2 linked regions of the Pelodiscus sinensis genome follow. The protein of the gene in region 2 purifies or fractionates together with the protein of the main gene of each other region. This does not show direct contact. Links are inferred from orthologs where the notes say so. Each region holds a gene or a part of one and is shown on either strand. Other genes may lie near its edges.

The links. The genes of interacting proteins can lie anywhere in the genome.
Region 1: the proteins of PRKACA (region 2) and AKAP11 purify together in Homo sapiens (affinity purification with mass spectrometry; 5 studies listed by BioGRID and IntAct, with this or other methods). This does not show direct contact. The link is inferred for Pelodiscus sinensis from reciprocal best matches to the Homo sapiens genes PRKACA and AKAP11.

Annotation. Positions count from the first base shown.
Region 1 is NC_134711.1:284,842,645-284,849,811, reverse strand, and holds the start of AKAP11 (A-kinase anchor protein 11), read right to left. Parts: upstream 3,019-7,167; 5' UTR 2,828-3,018; intron 268-2,827; exon of another isoform or gene 1-267. UniProt on the Homo sapiens protein: Binds to type II regulatory subunits of protein kinase A and anchors/targets them.
Region 2 is NC_134729.1:10,100,202-10,108,176, forward strand, and holds the start of PRKACA (cAMP-dependent protein kinase catalytic subunit alpha), read right to left. Parts: upstream 3,019-7,975; 5' UTR 1,416-3,018; coding exon 1,226-1,415; intron 1-1,225.

The sequences.
Region 1 (7,167 bases), on a different chromosome or scaffold from region 2:
CAAATCAACCTTGATAACTGCGGGCACTTAACCCCTTCTCAAAAAAAGGCACATGAGATTTGAAAAGGGTACTCAGAAGGGTAACACAAATGATATGGGTAATGGATCAGCTTTCATATGAGGAAAGATTAAAAAGAATAGGACTATTCAATTTAGAAAACAAATGACTAATGCAATTATAATACAGGTTGATAAAACCATAAATAGTGTGGGAAAAAATAGGGAAATGTTATTACCTCTTCTCATAACCCAAGAATGAGGGGTCACCCAAAGGAATTAACAGGCATCAGATTTAAAACAAGTACTATATATTCTTGTCCATAAGCTGAATTTTTCTGGTAAAAATGTGAATCATCAAAGAGCAGAGGTTGGCTTATCAATAGGTCACTGTTGTCATTGCAGATTCTGAGTCAGCAAACTTTGACTCCCGGCCCGTCAGGGATAACTTGCTGGTGCACTGGGGCATTTTGTTTACCTGGAGCATCCACAGACACTGAGCATTGCCACTTCCAATGGTAGTAGCTGGAAATGGCAGTCAGCACATCCCTTCACCTACACCACTTCCCATAAGATAAATCACAGCCACTTGGAGCTGCAAGGCTTCTTGCCTACAGATGCTCCATGTAAACAAAATGCCCCAGTGCACCAGCAAGTCATCCCTGACAGATTGGGAGCCAAAGCCACCCTCTGCAATATAAGATTGGCTTATGAAAGAGTCCATAGGGTTTTGCCATTTTTAAACTATCCATTGTGGGAATGCGGGCGGGGGGAGGGAGAGGAGAGTTGGCTTATAAACAAACAGGCTAATGAACAAAGTATACATTGTACTTCCTCTCACAATGGACTATCAACCTATGTAACTCATGACCATGGGCTGCTGAGAAGGCCACAAATATAGCTGCTTTAGAAAAGGAGCTAGTTAAATTCCTGAAAGATAGGGCTAGCTAAGTGCTAGTTAAGTTTCTGAAAGACCATCAATAACTATTAGCCACGATGGTCAGAGATGGAACCCCATGCTCTGGGTGTCCCTAAACCTCTGAGTACCACAAGATGGAACAGGATAACAGGGGATGGCTCACTTGGTTATTGCCCTGATCTGTTCATTCCCTCTGAAGCATCTGGTACTGGCCGCTGTCAAAAGACAGGATACCAGGCAAGATCCACTGATGTGACCAAGTATGGCTATCAAGTTCTTATGGAGTATCAGCAAAAGAACCCCAAAAAATACTTATTATTTTGCAGTTTTTCTGAAATGAATCAATAAAGGTAAGCAAAAATAAATATTTTCCTACCCTAATACACACATTTTTAAGCAATTTTAAGGAAAGGCAAATGTTTTCTTAAACCAACAGACTTTTGTTGATTAATCTGTCAAAACTTCAGAATTACCATCCAAAATGTTGGGAGTAGGATAGCTTCTGGATATGGAACTTCAGATTATCAAATAAAATATTTCTGAAAACATTATTCAGTGGCAAAGAAATGGTCCACTAGCTTAATTTGTCTTCATTAAATTAAGGAAAATTATACAGCAGAATATGACAGGGTAGCTGCAACAATAAGGCCACAAAAATTATGCTCAAGATTAAAAGTTATTTGCCAGGGATGCATAGAATTCAGAAGATAAAAGGATTGTGCCATCACAAGTAAATCAAATTGGGAAGAAACATTCTATTTTCTTTGCTGTCCATCCACAATAAGAGTAAGTAACATCACTAGTTTTTTCATCAAGTGAATGGTCTTCTAAATTTAATTTAGGGCAGTGAAATTTCAGGAGAGATGTACAAAGCTGATACAGCATGAATAGTTAGCAGCATAAGGCCTAAAAGCAAGACATGAAAAATCCACTTGCCAATTCATTCATACTGCCTTGAGATGCTGACCTGAGAAATGGGTCCAAATCCACCAATTTGCCTATCATTTAGGATCTCAAAAACAAGCTTCTATTTCCATTTGTATTATGTCTATTAGCATATCTAAGGGCTATCCTTAAAGTTATGAAAGAACCTTTCAAATGTGAAGAGACACAGTGCTGTCCTCCTGAGTCTGAGATGGACAGCTCCATTGCCTCTACCACCACTGGTATCTTTCCCAAGAAGCAGCATAGTGAAATTAAGAAGACTATTGTCATTTTTATGATGCTCCCATTTTATTACAAGAATACTCAAGAACTCCAGTCAGGAGCCTAGTGTTGGATCCTTTAGGCAGAAGTGAAATTGGCTGCTTGGGAAAGTTAGGGTGAAGCCATGAAGCAGCCACTAGCACTAAGAGGGATCAGCCCACAATAAAAGAGAACTGCAGCCAAATTTGGGGGGGTTGGAAGCAGGGAGGCGAACGGGCAATTGGTTACACGGTAAGCATCACCCTTAATGATGTGATGCTTATTGGGCAACAATTAACCGGTCCCTGGGAGCAGCGCTCCACCCACGGCACCAGCCCAGCGGGCCAGCAGAGCCCCCCCGACCACCAAATAAATGGGTTTCAGCTCCCCACCGGGAAGAGACCGCAGTGCTGAGCCCGCTGGACCGGGGCGGCGGGGGGGGGGGGGGGGGGGGGGCTGCAGACGCCCAGCAGCCTCGCACGGGCCAGTAGCCGGACTGGGTCCCGGCCACGCACCAGGGCCAGCGCGAGGGAGCGTGTCCCCCGAGCGGAAGGGGGGAGGCGGCTGCGGAGCGCTCCAGGCGGGGAAGCGGGAACGATGCTCCTCGTGAGGCGAAGGGGATGCGAAGCGGCCCCGGCTCCCGTCCCGCAGGGAACTGGGGGCGCCCCCCGGTCGTTCCCCCCCCCAAGAGCCTGCGCCGCCCGGGCCGGAGGGGGAGGGGCGTACCTGGGTCCGCAGCGTCCTGCGCCCGCAGCCATGTCACACCCCCTCAGCGCCCGGCCGCTCCCGCTCCAGCCGCCGCAGCGCCCTGCCTCCGCCGCGCTCGCGCGATGCCCACCCAACCCTCGCGAGGCTCGCCGGCGGGGCCGACGGGCTGCAATCTCGCGCACAGCCCCCGTGCGCAACTAGGAGGGCGGCCGGGTCACGTGACGGACGGCCTCGGTTCCTATTGGGCGAGCGAGCCGATGTGGAGCTAGCGAACGCGGCCCCGGGAGGGAGTTACGCGCGTGTGCGCGCGCCGCTCAAGTCAGGCGCTCCTGGGAGCCGCGGCCGGTTCAAGGCGCCGCTGTGCAGACGGGCCCCCCCACGCGCGGGTTGGGCAGCCACGCCCTGCAGCCTGGGCAGAGAAGGGGCGCGCTAGTGCTAGGCGGCTGCTCCGCTGCTGGTTCCTGATGGCTCCAGGAGCTTCTTTCGTTGGAGCCGGGCAGGCTGCAGCCGGGTCTGGTGCATCTGGCTCGGGGGCCAAAGTGCCCCTGGCAAGAGTTAACTCCCTCCCCCCGCCCCCCAGGCGGGTTAGCTGTCTCAGCCCCACTTTGCAGGCAGGTAGAAGTTGGTCACTAGCTCTTGCTCCCAATTAAATTAATGGGAAGGCGGCGGCAAAAACAAGTCCCATCAAAGCCCGCCGAGCCTGTACACAGGGAACGCCGAGACCCCGAGAGGCTTCACAAACAACGGAGCATTCAGAAGAGCGAACCTGTTGTGTGCCAATCAGCAGAGTCTAAATGTCTCGCACACAAACGCTCCCTTTAGCCCTAGCCAGGCTTTTGATTTCTGCGTTCAGCTGCTCCTGCCCCTGAATTGAGGTATCCTGATTGGTAAGCACGAAATGTAAAAAGCCCAACGTCTTTTCCATATTCTACTAGGGCCTGCCCTGACTCAATAGAAAGAGGCTTAATGATGTCAGTGAAAGTTGTATCTTGCCCCTCCTACAATGACAATAGGAAACAGAAGATTGGGAGGTATATTTCCAGGGATGCTCAAACTGAGGCAATGACTGCACAGTCTCAATCCATGTTCCCAAAGTCAGGCCCTGAGAACTCGTCTCTTTATTTCTCTCTGACAATGTTTAAAGTCAGTGCTGTACAGTAATTCCTCATTTAACACGTGCCCGTGTAATACGTTTTCACGATAGCACGATTTTTTTTGGAACGTTTTTTGAATTACATGACCGTCCCCAGAATAAGAAGATTTCCCCAGCCGGCTCATTGCTGGTGGTTGCGCGGGGCTTCCCCAGCCTCCCTGCAAAGCGGCGGAGAGTTTGCCGCTCGCTGTGCTGTTCCCCGGTGCCCCCCCCCCCTCGCTGGATGCAGTGCGGGTCCCAACGGACCCATCACAGGGGCATACTTCCAACCCAATCCCCCTCTCCTCTCCTCCTCTTCCCTTCCCCAGAGCCAAACACCTCCCCTCCCTGCTGTAACCCAGTTCCCTTTCTCCCCCAATCTTATGTCCCGGTCCCAACAGACACCACCGCTTGAAACGCAATTCCCACCTTTTCCATTATTTTCAATGGGAAAATTGATCCTGCATAACATGTTTTCACTTAACATGATCATTTTCTGAAACATATCTATAGTGTTAAATGAGGAATTACTGTACTTACTCCAAGCCTAATGACATATTGACCCTATTATAGATTACAGTCAATATCACTTTCAGGTTCTCATGCACTGTTATACAATACTACCAGGTGAGGCCTGCTTCCATTACTCTTTCCATAACTAATTTGGATTACTTTGTGATTTGTTACAGTAAACATTTTCAGTGAACTAAAATGACAGTAAAATGGGCAACTTGATTTTAATTTTGTTAGCAAATATTTTTATGAACTCAAATAATAAAAGTCATGACCTTTTTCCAATGAAAACCGAAAATAATTATTTAAAACTTTCACCCAGCATATTCCTGTGTAAAAAGTAGTGCATTCAGCTCATTTAAATGGCAGGACTGTTTATGCAAAATTTGGTATCTGTAGGTAATCACAAAGTGACATGAACAGGAGTGCTGACCAGCACCCGGTGACTAAGGTGTTAACTCAGGAACCTAGGGAAGGTGTCAGCCAGGGGGCCAAGAGAGCTATTGGGGATAGAGTTGAAATTTGAATTGGATCTAGGACCCCTGGCCTGCTTTTTTGTGTGTGTTTGTGTTCTGCTCCCTCCCCCCCCCCCCCAAATTCAGGGCATAGGAGCGGACTGAACAAAGAGCAAATTAGAAGTGAGTACCAGGGAAATGTGAGTCCAGTCGTGTTCAGGGTAATTTTTCTTTATCGTGTGGTTTGGTTTGAACGGTTCTGTGTGAATCTGTGCCTCCCTTCCCCATTTACTACCATCTAAGCATTGTGCCAGAGTTTTTTTTCTCTCTGTTTTAATTCAGTTTCCACAGTTGCTCTATAACATCTAGCAACCAAGTGTGGTTTGTCACGTTTATCTTTTATTTTGTAATAAAAATCACTTCTTTTAAGGTGATTATTTTATTCTTGTGTCCTGGAAGGTCTGTCTGTGTGTTTCTGCATGTCTCTGACTGAGGAGTCAGCTACCAGAGACTACAGCTTATTCTTCTCTCTTCTTTTTCAAGCTCTTTTGGGGCAAAAGAACTTTTGGGATACCCCTGGGAGTAGTTTCAGGTGTTCACCACTGTTTTTTAAGGCTCAAAAAGCACTTGATGATGGCAGCAAATTCCCCAAAATCTGTGTGTTAGGATTCTGGGGGAAAGTTTTGTAACCAGTGCCTGTAGAAGCAAGGTTTTTGAAGCTCTCTTGCGGGACCCCACCTTCTGCATTTGGAGTGCCAGAGTGGGAAACAGCCTTGACATGAAGTATGACTTTATTTTGCACAAACAAATCTACAAACAAACAAACACTTCAAAATATATAATAGATTTGTATATAGTGCAAGGACTCTTGCTCTATTTTCTTTTTTATGTGTATTAAAAATAGTGTTCCAATTGGATTTATTTTTCATTTTATGGACATACTGATTTAATGCAGAGTTTACAGAGACTCCCCTATCATGTAAGCAGCCTATGAGCAGGAACTCTCCCCCAGAACACAACACAAGCACTAGTAGGAAGAAATGACAGGAAGTAGAATTGTTTGTTTAAGCGCTCTGAGCAGGGATTCTCTGAGAATACACCGAAATGAAGGACTCCCCCCAAGATCCCCAAAGGTTGGCTTAATCCACATTCCTGAGACAAAGCCAGCCTGGCAAGTGAAGACCTACAGAAACAGCTACATCCGTGTGGCTGGGGCCACCCAAACATACCCACAGAGCTTGGGTTGACAGAAAGAAGAGACAACTTCTCAGTTGCTTTCAGCAACAAAGATGATACCTTGTGGTTCTGCTATCCAGGAAAGAACCAACTACTCAGTCATGTGTCTTCCCTTATACCAAGGTACCCTAAAAGAGTGACTGTCGTGCCCCCCCATACTTTATGCAAATTGGCTTATGAATATCCATAACCTAAAGATGCTTTTGGCAAAATGCATTCTGACATTTTTAAAGTTACAATTCGCTGAATGTTTATATTCTAATTCTGTGTCATGTATCATTCTTGTATGGCTAGTTAGAAATATATAAATTGTGGATCTGTTTAAAATTCTAGATGGCCTAACGAGGGCCATTAGTAATATTCCAGAGACATAATGGTTTTGTGCATAAGTTAACAACCTGTGAATGGTTTTGGTTTTGTTGTAAGCCCAAACTGTGGCTGGTCCTATAAGGACATGTGGCCAGACCACCTGATGCTGGAAACCATTTGGAATCTTGTACTTTGCCACTTGAGGTGAGAAAAGTTTGAAGAGATCACAAAATTCCCACCTTGGGCAATGAGGTTATTAAAGTGAGACATCAAAGCAACAGGGGGAGTGGCCAGACACCAGGAGACCACCTGTCCCCACTTACTATGCAAGTTGCCTGCTGGAAAATCTAATACTGAACAGCGGAGAGGTTCAAGAAGGCTGTCGAGTTTGTGGAAGATCATTAGAATAGCTGTTAAGGTCAGAATTTGCATATAACAAGTTTCTTAGTGTATTAGAATTAGCTGGTGGGTTCTTTTTATTTTGTCTTAGTACTTTGATCTGTCTGTTTTCACTTGCAATCACTTAAATCCTACTTTTTACACTTAATAAAAAATACTTTTGTTTATAATCAAGCCAAATGTAAATAATTGTTAGCTGGAGGGGGGAGCAACGATTCTGCATATTTCTTTTTCATTGATAAAGGGGACTGACCTTTGTGAGCTTTCACCGTGTAAAACTTTTATACAGCGTAATATGGATTTATTGGGGTTTT
Region 2 (7,975 bases):
CCCACGGGATCTGCAGGCCACGCTGGGAAGGCCCAGGCAGCAGAGGGTTAAAGGTGCCAGAGGCTATTTTAATCCTGGCTGCCCTGCCAAGGCACTATTGTTACAACCTTGTTTGCACATCCAGGGAGCCTGCCGGTGGGAGAGATGGCTCATCCCTGTATCCTCCCTCCCCTCCCTCACCCTCCCTCCCTGCAGGGGAATCCCTCCCACCCACCCACAGCTGGGGCCAGGCTGGAAAGGCCTCCTCATCTGTCCTGAGGGGAGGGAGGAATGAAAGCAGGGTTGGGGGAATGAGGAGGAGGAAGTGGAGGGGGATGAAAAGGACAGACACAGGATGTCAGAGAGGAAGTGACACATGAGGGCATAGGTCTGTCCCAGGGAAGTGGCCAGGACTCTCCCGAGGAAGGGAGCCAGTGAGTCCTTGTGCCCCCTTCCTCACATGCAGCGACCAAGTACCTGGCAGCCGACCCGCAGCACCACCGGTATAGGAGGAGGAAAGGGAGAGGTGCCACACACCAGGGACTGGCATTCGAGGAAGAGAAGGAGGCAGAGACTTCAAACCCCTCCCAGAGCCGGGGACAGAACTCAGGAGCCATGATGCCCAGGCCTCTGCTCTAACCATTAGGCCAGCATGGAAGACTGGGAACCAGGACTCCTGAATTCTACGGCCAGCGCTGCCCCCATCTGGCGCAAGCAGAGGCAAGTCACTTCCCCCGCTGTGTGAGGCGGTTCTGCCCCATCACCAAACACACCTCATCTCCCACTTTGCAGGGAGAGCCTGGTGCGGGGGGAGAGATTCGCTGCTGCTTGCAGAACAGCTAGAGCCAGCGGATCAGAGCACAGCGCCACCCACCTGGGTTCTGGCGCCCGGGGCGGATGCCGGGCACGGAGAAAAGTTCACGCCACGTGGCGGGTTCAGCCCTTCCCACAATCAGAACTTGGGTGTCCCAGGCCCATGACCTGTCCCAGGCCTCCATGGCTCAGGAGTGGCGGGAAGAGGAGGCCCCGGGAGCGGAGAGCTCCTAAGGCCTCACGTGCTTGCCGCTGCCCTGCAGGGATCCTTCCCAGGAGGAGCTGGGGAGGCCAGACTCTGGCCTGCGCACTCCGCCCCCCAAATCCCACACATTTTGATGGTGTCTGCATCCCCTGCCCCCGCCAGATAGCTCGACTCACAGGGCCCTGTGCCGCGGCTGGTCCTACCCCTGCGGATTCCATCTCAACTCACTCTGCTCACTCCAGGCGAGCGTGTGCGGAGACACAGGGGCCGCCTCGCTGCCGGCCGGGGCCCCCGCCTCGCTGCGCGGCCCCCAGTAGAAAATCCGCCCAGCCAGACTCTCCAGTTTCTGAAGCGCTGACATCTTAGCCCCTTTGTTCCTGCTGGGGTTGGGGCAGGTCATTTCTCCTCCGTGGCTCATGTTTCCCTTAATTTATTTATCTCCCTCTCTCCTCAGCTCTCACAGCCAGAGTTGATGTGAAGTTGGGCCCCAATCCAGGAATCCTCCGGCCTCGGCCATTTCCCAGCAGCAGAGACGAGAGCAGGGTCAGGGAGCGGAGAAGCAGCCCCAAGCCCCAGCAAAACTCGTCCACTCCCAACAGAGATGGGGGCTTGAGCCGACTGCTCTTGACTTCTACCCGGGGGAGAGACTCTCCATCCAAAAGCTCCCCTGCCCTGCAGCAGCCTCAGAGCCTGGCTGTCAACGCAGAGGCGGGCAGGCCACTTCCATACGACTCCTCCCTGCACTTGCTCCAGGTGGCGAGGACCCAGGGACTCGAAATGGCTTCACCTTGGTCCCGAGCGTGGGCTTCCCTGGCAGAGGGCACAGGATAGGGGAGTCTGGTCACTTACGCAGCCAGCCAAGTCAGTTTCACTTCCTGGAGAGCAAGGGGAAGACGGGTTCTGCTCCAGAACTGAATGGACGGGTTTGCCAGAACAATGGCCGGTGGCAAGGGGCAAATCCACCCAGAGAGGCTTAAAGCAGACCCGTGGGTCTCTGCTCCTCTCAGATCCTTGGGCCGAAAGCAGCGCGCGAGGCTCCCTCTTGCTTCACTGCCGATCCTGTGTGTGCGGGGGAGCGGATCCTTGCCAAACACACTGTCCTACGGGTACAGTGCCCCGGGCTGCAAAGGAAACAGGGCTGGGCTTGCAGCTCACATGAGGCCTGAGTCAGAGGCACGCAGGTCCTGAAATCAGCTGCTGGAGCCCCCGTGTATAGCGCCGAAGAGCAGGGGGTCGCAGCGCGTCCAAGGCAGCTCTCCAAGCAGCGCTCAAACAGACCCACATTCAGAACCCCCGGCCCTTGCAGGCACCCTGCGGCTGCACCCCAGCGAGGAGATCTTGCTGCACCACGGGGTTTGACTCATGGCGTGCAGTCCCAGGCGGTACCGACCGCCGCCAGGGGAGGGACTCAGGACTAGTTGCTTGAAGGTTTCTTTACTTTGCCTTTCCCAAACAAGCCCTGCACTCCTTGACCTTGGGAGCGGGAAGCCACTTCCAGCGGAAGCCAGAAGCCGGATAGAGCTCCGGGGGAAAAGCAAGCGGGTGGGATGGGGAAGGAGGAGGCCCTTTCTTGTGAGTCTCAATTTCCAGGGGGCTGCAGAGACCGGAGGCAGGGGGCAATCTGGAAAGGAAGCTGCTCACCCTGGGCACAAGGGGCGAGGGGGCTACTGCGTCAGCCCCCCAAAGGTGCGGAGGAGGTAATAGACCAGCCGGCCAAACAAGTGCACCCAGAGGAAGAGCTGGATCCAGAACTGGAAGTCGAAATCTGAGCCCTCCTCGATTCCACGGAGGTCGCCAGGTCTGAGCTCCATGCTGCCGCCCCGATGACGCAGACCTCGGCTCCTGGCAGCCGGGATCCTGCCGGAGGCTGCCCTGCTTCTCTACGCCACAGCGGGCTCCCCCATGGCTGCCCAGCTTCCAAGCAGGCCTCCAGGACCCTTTGCAGAGCAGGAACGGGCTCTCCCGGGGAGAAGAACCGGGAGCAGGGTAGGGAGCAGCCTGCTTCACTCCTGTCGCTTCCTAGGCTCAGGGATCAGCCTGCCCCAGTGAGGCGCGCGCTAGGTATTGTTTCAGAAAGCGCCCCAAGGGAGCAGCCTCAAAGGGGGAGGGAGATCCAGGGCTGGGCACGCCGCCAGGTTCACACGAGGCCCTTAAAGGCATCAGCTCCCTGCTCCACATCTGCTCTCAGCTGCTCTCTCAGCAACCAGCTCTCCTCAGGGAACTGGCCCCCGGGCTCCAGTGGCAGGACAGGAGGTTGGGATCCCAGGGAACCTGGCCTGGCAGCCCGGAGCATCCCACTCTCAGGGGGAGTGGGTGGGAAGGAGGGAGGGGAATCTACAGCATCTCTAGAGCATCAGCTCAAACCCAGTCCAATGTGAAGTTAACTTGGCAGGTCTCAGTCCAGTCCCCAGAGGGAGGGCCCTCCCGCCGAGGGATGTAAAATCCTGTTTCAATTATTTAATGGGTTAAACGGTTCATTGATTAAACCGTTTTAATCAGTTCATTGATTAAACCAGGGTGAGCAGGAGGCGCTCCAACCCAGCTGGACTGGAGTACCCTCCCCTTGCGGGTGGGCTGCAGTACCCCTTCCCCCATGGGAAGGGGCTGTTCCAGCGGGGCTGGAGCAACCCCCACTTGCAGTAGGCCCCGTGGGGCTGGAGCAGATCTCTGCCCATGGCAAGTGGGGGGCTGCTCCAGCCCCCACCAGTTAACTGTAACCAGCAAACATCACCCGCTAAGGTTAACCAATTAGTAAACCATTCACATCCCTACTTCCTACCACAGAATCATCCTAGACAGGACTCCTGGGCTCCTCACCATTAGACCGTGCTGCCTCCCAAGCCAAGAACAGAACCCAGGAGTCCCGACTCCCAGAGGCCCTGTTCTCAGCACATCCCAGCCCAGTCCCCCCTCACTGAGTAAGAGGAAGGGCAAAGTTAGCTGCTATAGGCCCCTTTGGACAGAGGGGCTGGTGAAAGGCGGGACCTTCTGGGCTCCCATTCAAGCTCCCCCTTCAGGCCTTACACTCCCGGGACTGTGGCGGGGGAAACGGGGGCAGGAGGAGACTCACACACAGTTCCCACATGGCTTTGGTAGGGGGAGGCCTCTCCCTCCGGGAACTGGACTGACACCTGCCAAACCCATTTCATGTTGCAGCTGGTCTGAGCAGGGCCACAGTCGGAGGGCTGAGAATCCGAGCCCTGTGGCTCACGTGGCCTCCGGCCTCCACCGATAGCCAGCCAGGGGGCCAGCCAAGTCCAGCGCTACTGCCGCGTGCACCAGGATCTGCTTCCTGAGCCGCGCCTGGCTCAACAGGAGCCCTGGCACTGACCAGCCACCAAGAGCGGCTCAGCTGAACAGCTGGGTTGAAAGGTCTCTGCCTGCTGCCGTGCGCTCAGCACCCTGGCGGTGGATCTTGAGACAGCCCCTCCCATCCAGGCCCTGCGCTGGAGCCCCCCAGTCACCATCAGGCCTACAAGAGGCAGCCAAGAGGTTCGAGACACTCCGTGGGAGGGACTGGAGCAGGCTCTCTTTGCCCTTCCTCCGGATCTGAAAGGGATCCCATTAGGTTACGTAACCGGGGCCACGCGAGCTGTTTGGGTCAGAACCGCGTCTCAGTGCAGCGGGGGAAGGGGTGTCACTGACATGTGGCTGAGTCGGCATTTCCGAGGGGCTGCCAGCCCACATGCCAGTCAGACAGGCGGGCGAGAGCGGTGCCCAAAGGGTTAGCCTTGCGCAGGTGCAGCTTTGGCAGGACCAGGGGAATTTTCTGCCATCTCAGGCAGCGAGTCCCGCAGGGTCAGCAGGGAAGGTTTAAAATATTCCAGCGTGCTCGGTAAAAATCAGCTCCCTCCAGCCAGCAATGAGCAGCAGCAGCAGGGACACACGGACCCAGCAGATGGCATTTTGCCCTACTCAGCAATCGGAGCATCATGGCCCAGCCACAGATGGTGACCCCCATGGCGACCAGCCGCATGGTGCAGCACCAGTAAGAGCCTGGGTTGGTACTGGGAGAGCCAGAGGCTGGGCTGTCTGGCAGCCTGAAGCTTATCAGTCATTCATTTCAGCAGAGGAATCCCTGCTCCGTCCCAGAAGTGGGTGCATCGGGGAAGCGTCTGAGTGGCTCTCGCCTGAACACAAGGAGGCACAACTGGGGGGACAGCACAATTAACAGGTTCACACTGGCCTAGCAGGCAAGCTGCCCTGCATGGAGCCAGGCTCTTTGCAGGAAACTCCACTCTAAGTTACAGCAGGTCTGTCATGCACAAGCAGAAGATCAACAGTGAGTAATTAACCATTGGAACAACTGACCAAGGGCTGAGGCAGATTCTCTAGCACAGGCAGCCTTCAACTCAAACATGGCTACTTTTGTGCTCTAATTCAATCAGGAATTAATTCAGGCCAGTCCTACAGTTGTGCCATGCTGGAGGTCACCCTGTATTGGTGGTTCTCAACCTTTCTCATTTGTGGACCCCTAAAAATGTCGAAGGGAGGTGCAGATCCCTTGGAGAGACAGGGTCTGCAGAGCCCCAGGGGTCCACAGACCACACCCTGACATGAGCCCAGTGGTCTCTGGCTTTGGGAGTTAGGCAAGATGGCCTGTGGTAAAGGCAGATTTGGATTCAATGCTGAGTTTGGACCTTGACTTCATGCAACCTTGGATCAGTCATTTCAGCTCAGCTGCCTGTCTGTAACATGGGGGTACGAATCCTTCCCCTGACTATTTAGATTCAAAACGCTTTAGGGCAGAAGCGGACTTGTTTTAGGTGTGTGCGCAGCATCCAGCACAATGCAGGTCTTTGACCTCAGTTTAGGTCATTATGGGCATTACAGCAGCACATAATACAAACCCATTTAATTCCTCACCCGGTAAGGAATAACCAGAAGGAATAAGGGAAACCCGCCGTGAGGCTCAGATAATAAAAATGGTGCTGATGAAAAGAGGACTGCACTCATTTTCAGTCCCAAAATGATATACACGTATATTTTAAACCAAAAGGATTCCTTAAAAACCTAGTGCGGAGAGCAATTTCGCATGAATTTAAAAGAAAATTCAGTAGAAAACCAGGTAGCTTGAGGATTTAGAGAGACATTATCAGCTTAAAAAGAGGACAATAAAAATTGCTTCTTATGTTACCAGCACCTGGGCTTATTAACTGTAAAGCTTATTTTCAACATAAAGTCCACTGCACTTAATCCCTTTTCAGGTATCTCAGCATGAACAAATGCAGGGAGGAAGGGGGAAGACCCAATACAGCTGGTCAATTTCACTCAGATTCTAGTGAGTTTCACTTCTGGTACTGAAGTAACTGCAGGTTGCCAGTGTCCAAAGTAGGATCAACAGACGCAGATACCTCAGCAATTGCTAGTAACATGGTGCCAAGTCCTTGTTTCCAGCTGCTAAACTTCATCAACCCATTAAATTCTAGCATGATCGGAAATAACGGCTGCAGTGCTAGTCACCCCTGATCAAAGAGGAATAGTGCAAAATGAGAACGTTCAGAGTAGGGCAATAAGAACAATCTAGACCTGGGACAAACTCTCCTATGAGGACAGACGGAGAGGACTATTTCCCTTACCAAGGAACCCAATAAGAGGGCCACCATTTAATCTGGAAAATAATAGCTGGGATGAAGAAGAGAGATGAGGAGCTTCTCTCCTTCCTGTCTCATTCCACAAGAAGCAGGGGACACTCAAATAGAATTAAAAGGTGGGGAATTCAAAACCAGTAAGAGGAAACACTTTACCATTAGCCCACGGAACTCACCACCACAAAGTTGAGGGCAAGACTAGACTGGCCATTCACAGGGAGAAAGACAATTCAAGGCTATAATTTAAATGACAGCAATAATTCCGAAATGGATATTGAAGCTTGTGCGTCAGGGCTTAAGTGGATCTCTAATGCTAGTGAGCAGGACGAGACCTCTAGAAACGGAAAGTTTTCCCTCCATTGCTACTCTGGGGTTCTTTACCCCTTCCTCTGCAGCCTCTGGTGCTGATGCTAGATGGCCCTCAGAGCTGACCCTGTTCTGGCAATTGCTACATTCAGGTTATGTTTCCACATCAGCAGTTGTCACTGCCCCAGGAGATTAAAAGATCATGAATGGGAGAGAGAAGCTGCTTGATGGGATGGCAAAATGGGACGGCAAAGTCCCATGGGAACTTCCTCAACCTCTCACTAGCAAAAGGCAGAGAATCCTTAACTCTTAACTAGCACTTTTCATCTGCAGATCTCAAGTGCCTTGCAAAGGAGGCCCCATATCGTAAGCCCCGTTTTACAGTGGGGGAAACTGAGGCACAGAGCAAGGAAGGGACTTGTCCAAGGTCATAGCAGGAAAAAGTCTGCCAAGTTCTCATCCTCTGTGCCGGGGTGGGCAATATTTTTTGAAGGGGGGGGCACTTCACAACTTTCAGAAGTAGTTGTGGGACACCCCGAAGAGGGCTGGGCCTCAGGCAGAAGGGGCAGGGCCAGGAGACTTCACATACTCCTCTGCCCACAGACCGTGAATGGCCTGTGGATGAGAAAGCACATGAAGTCTTTGCCCCCTGCCCTGCCAGGGGTGCCAGGCACCTAGAGAGAACTGCCAGCTGTTCTTGCGCTCCCTCCACCCCCAGGCCAATCAGGAGGCGCACCCCCTGCCGAAAAAGAAAAAGTGCAGAAGCATCAGGGCAGTGGGGGAGAATCCAAGGGAGGCTTTCCCCTTAGTTCAGGAGGTGCCTCGCCTCCCCTCCCCGTGCCGCGCCTTCCAGCCGCTGGGAAGGGCCCGGGGGCAGGGCAGCAGACATCATCTCTGCTCATGAAATCTCTCACTCCCTGCCCCACCTTGGCTGGGATGTTCGGTTCCCTCTGGTGCCGCACGCCCCTGGCAGGGAGAGGAGACTTCACATGCTCCCCCATCTCTAGGTCTCAATTGGCCTGGGAGCAGGGGAGTGGGAGAGTGGCCATGGGCTCAATCAACCCACTTGGAGGGCTGGATC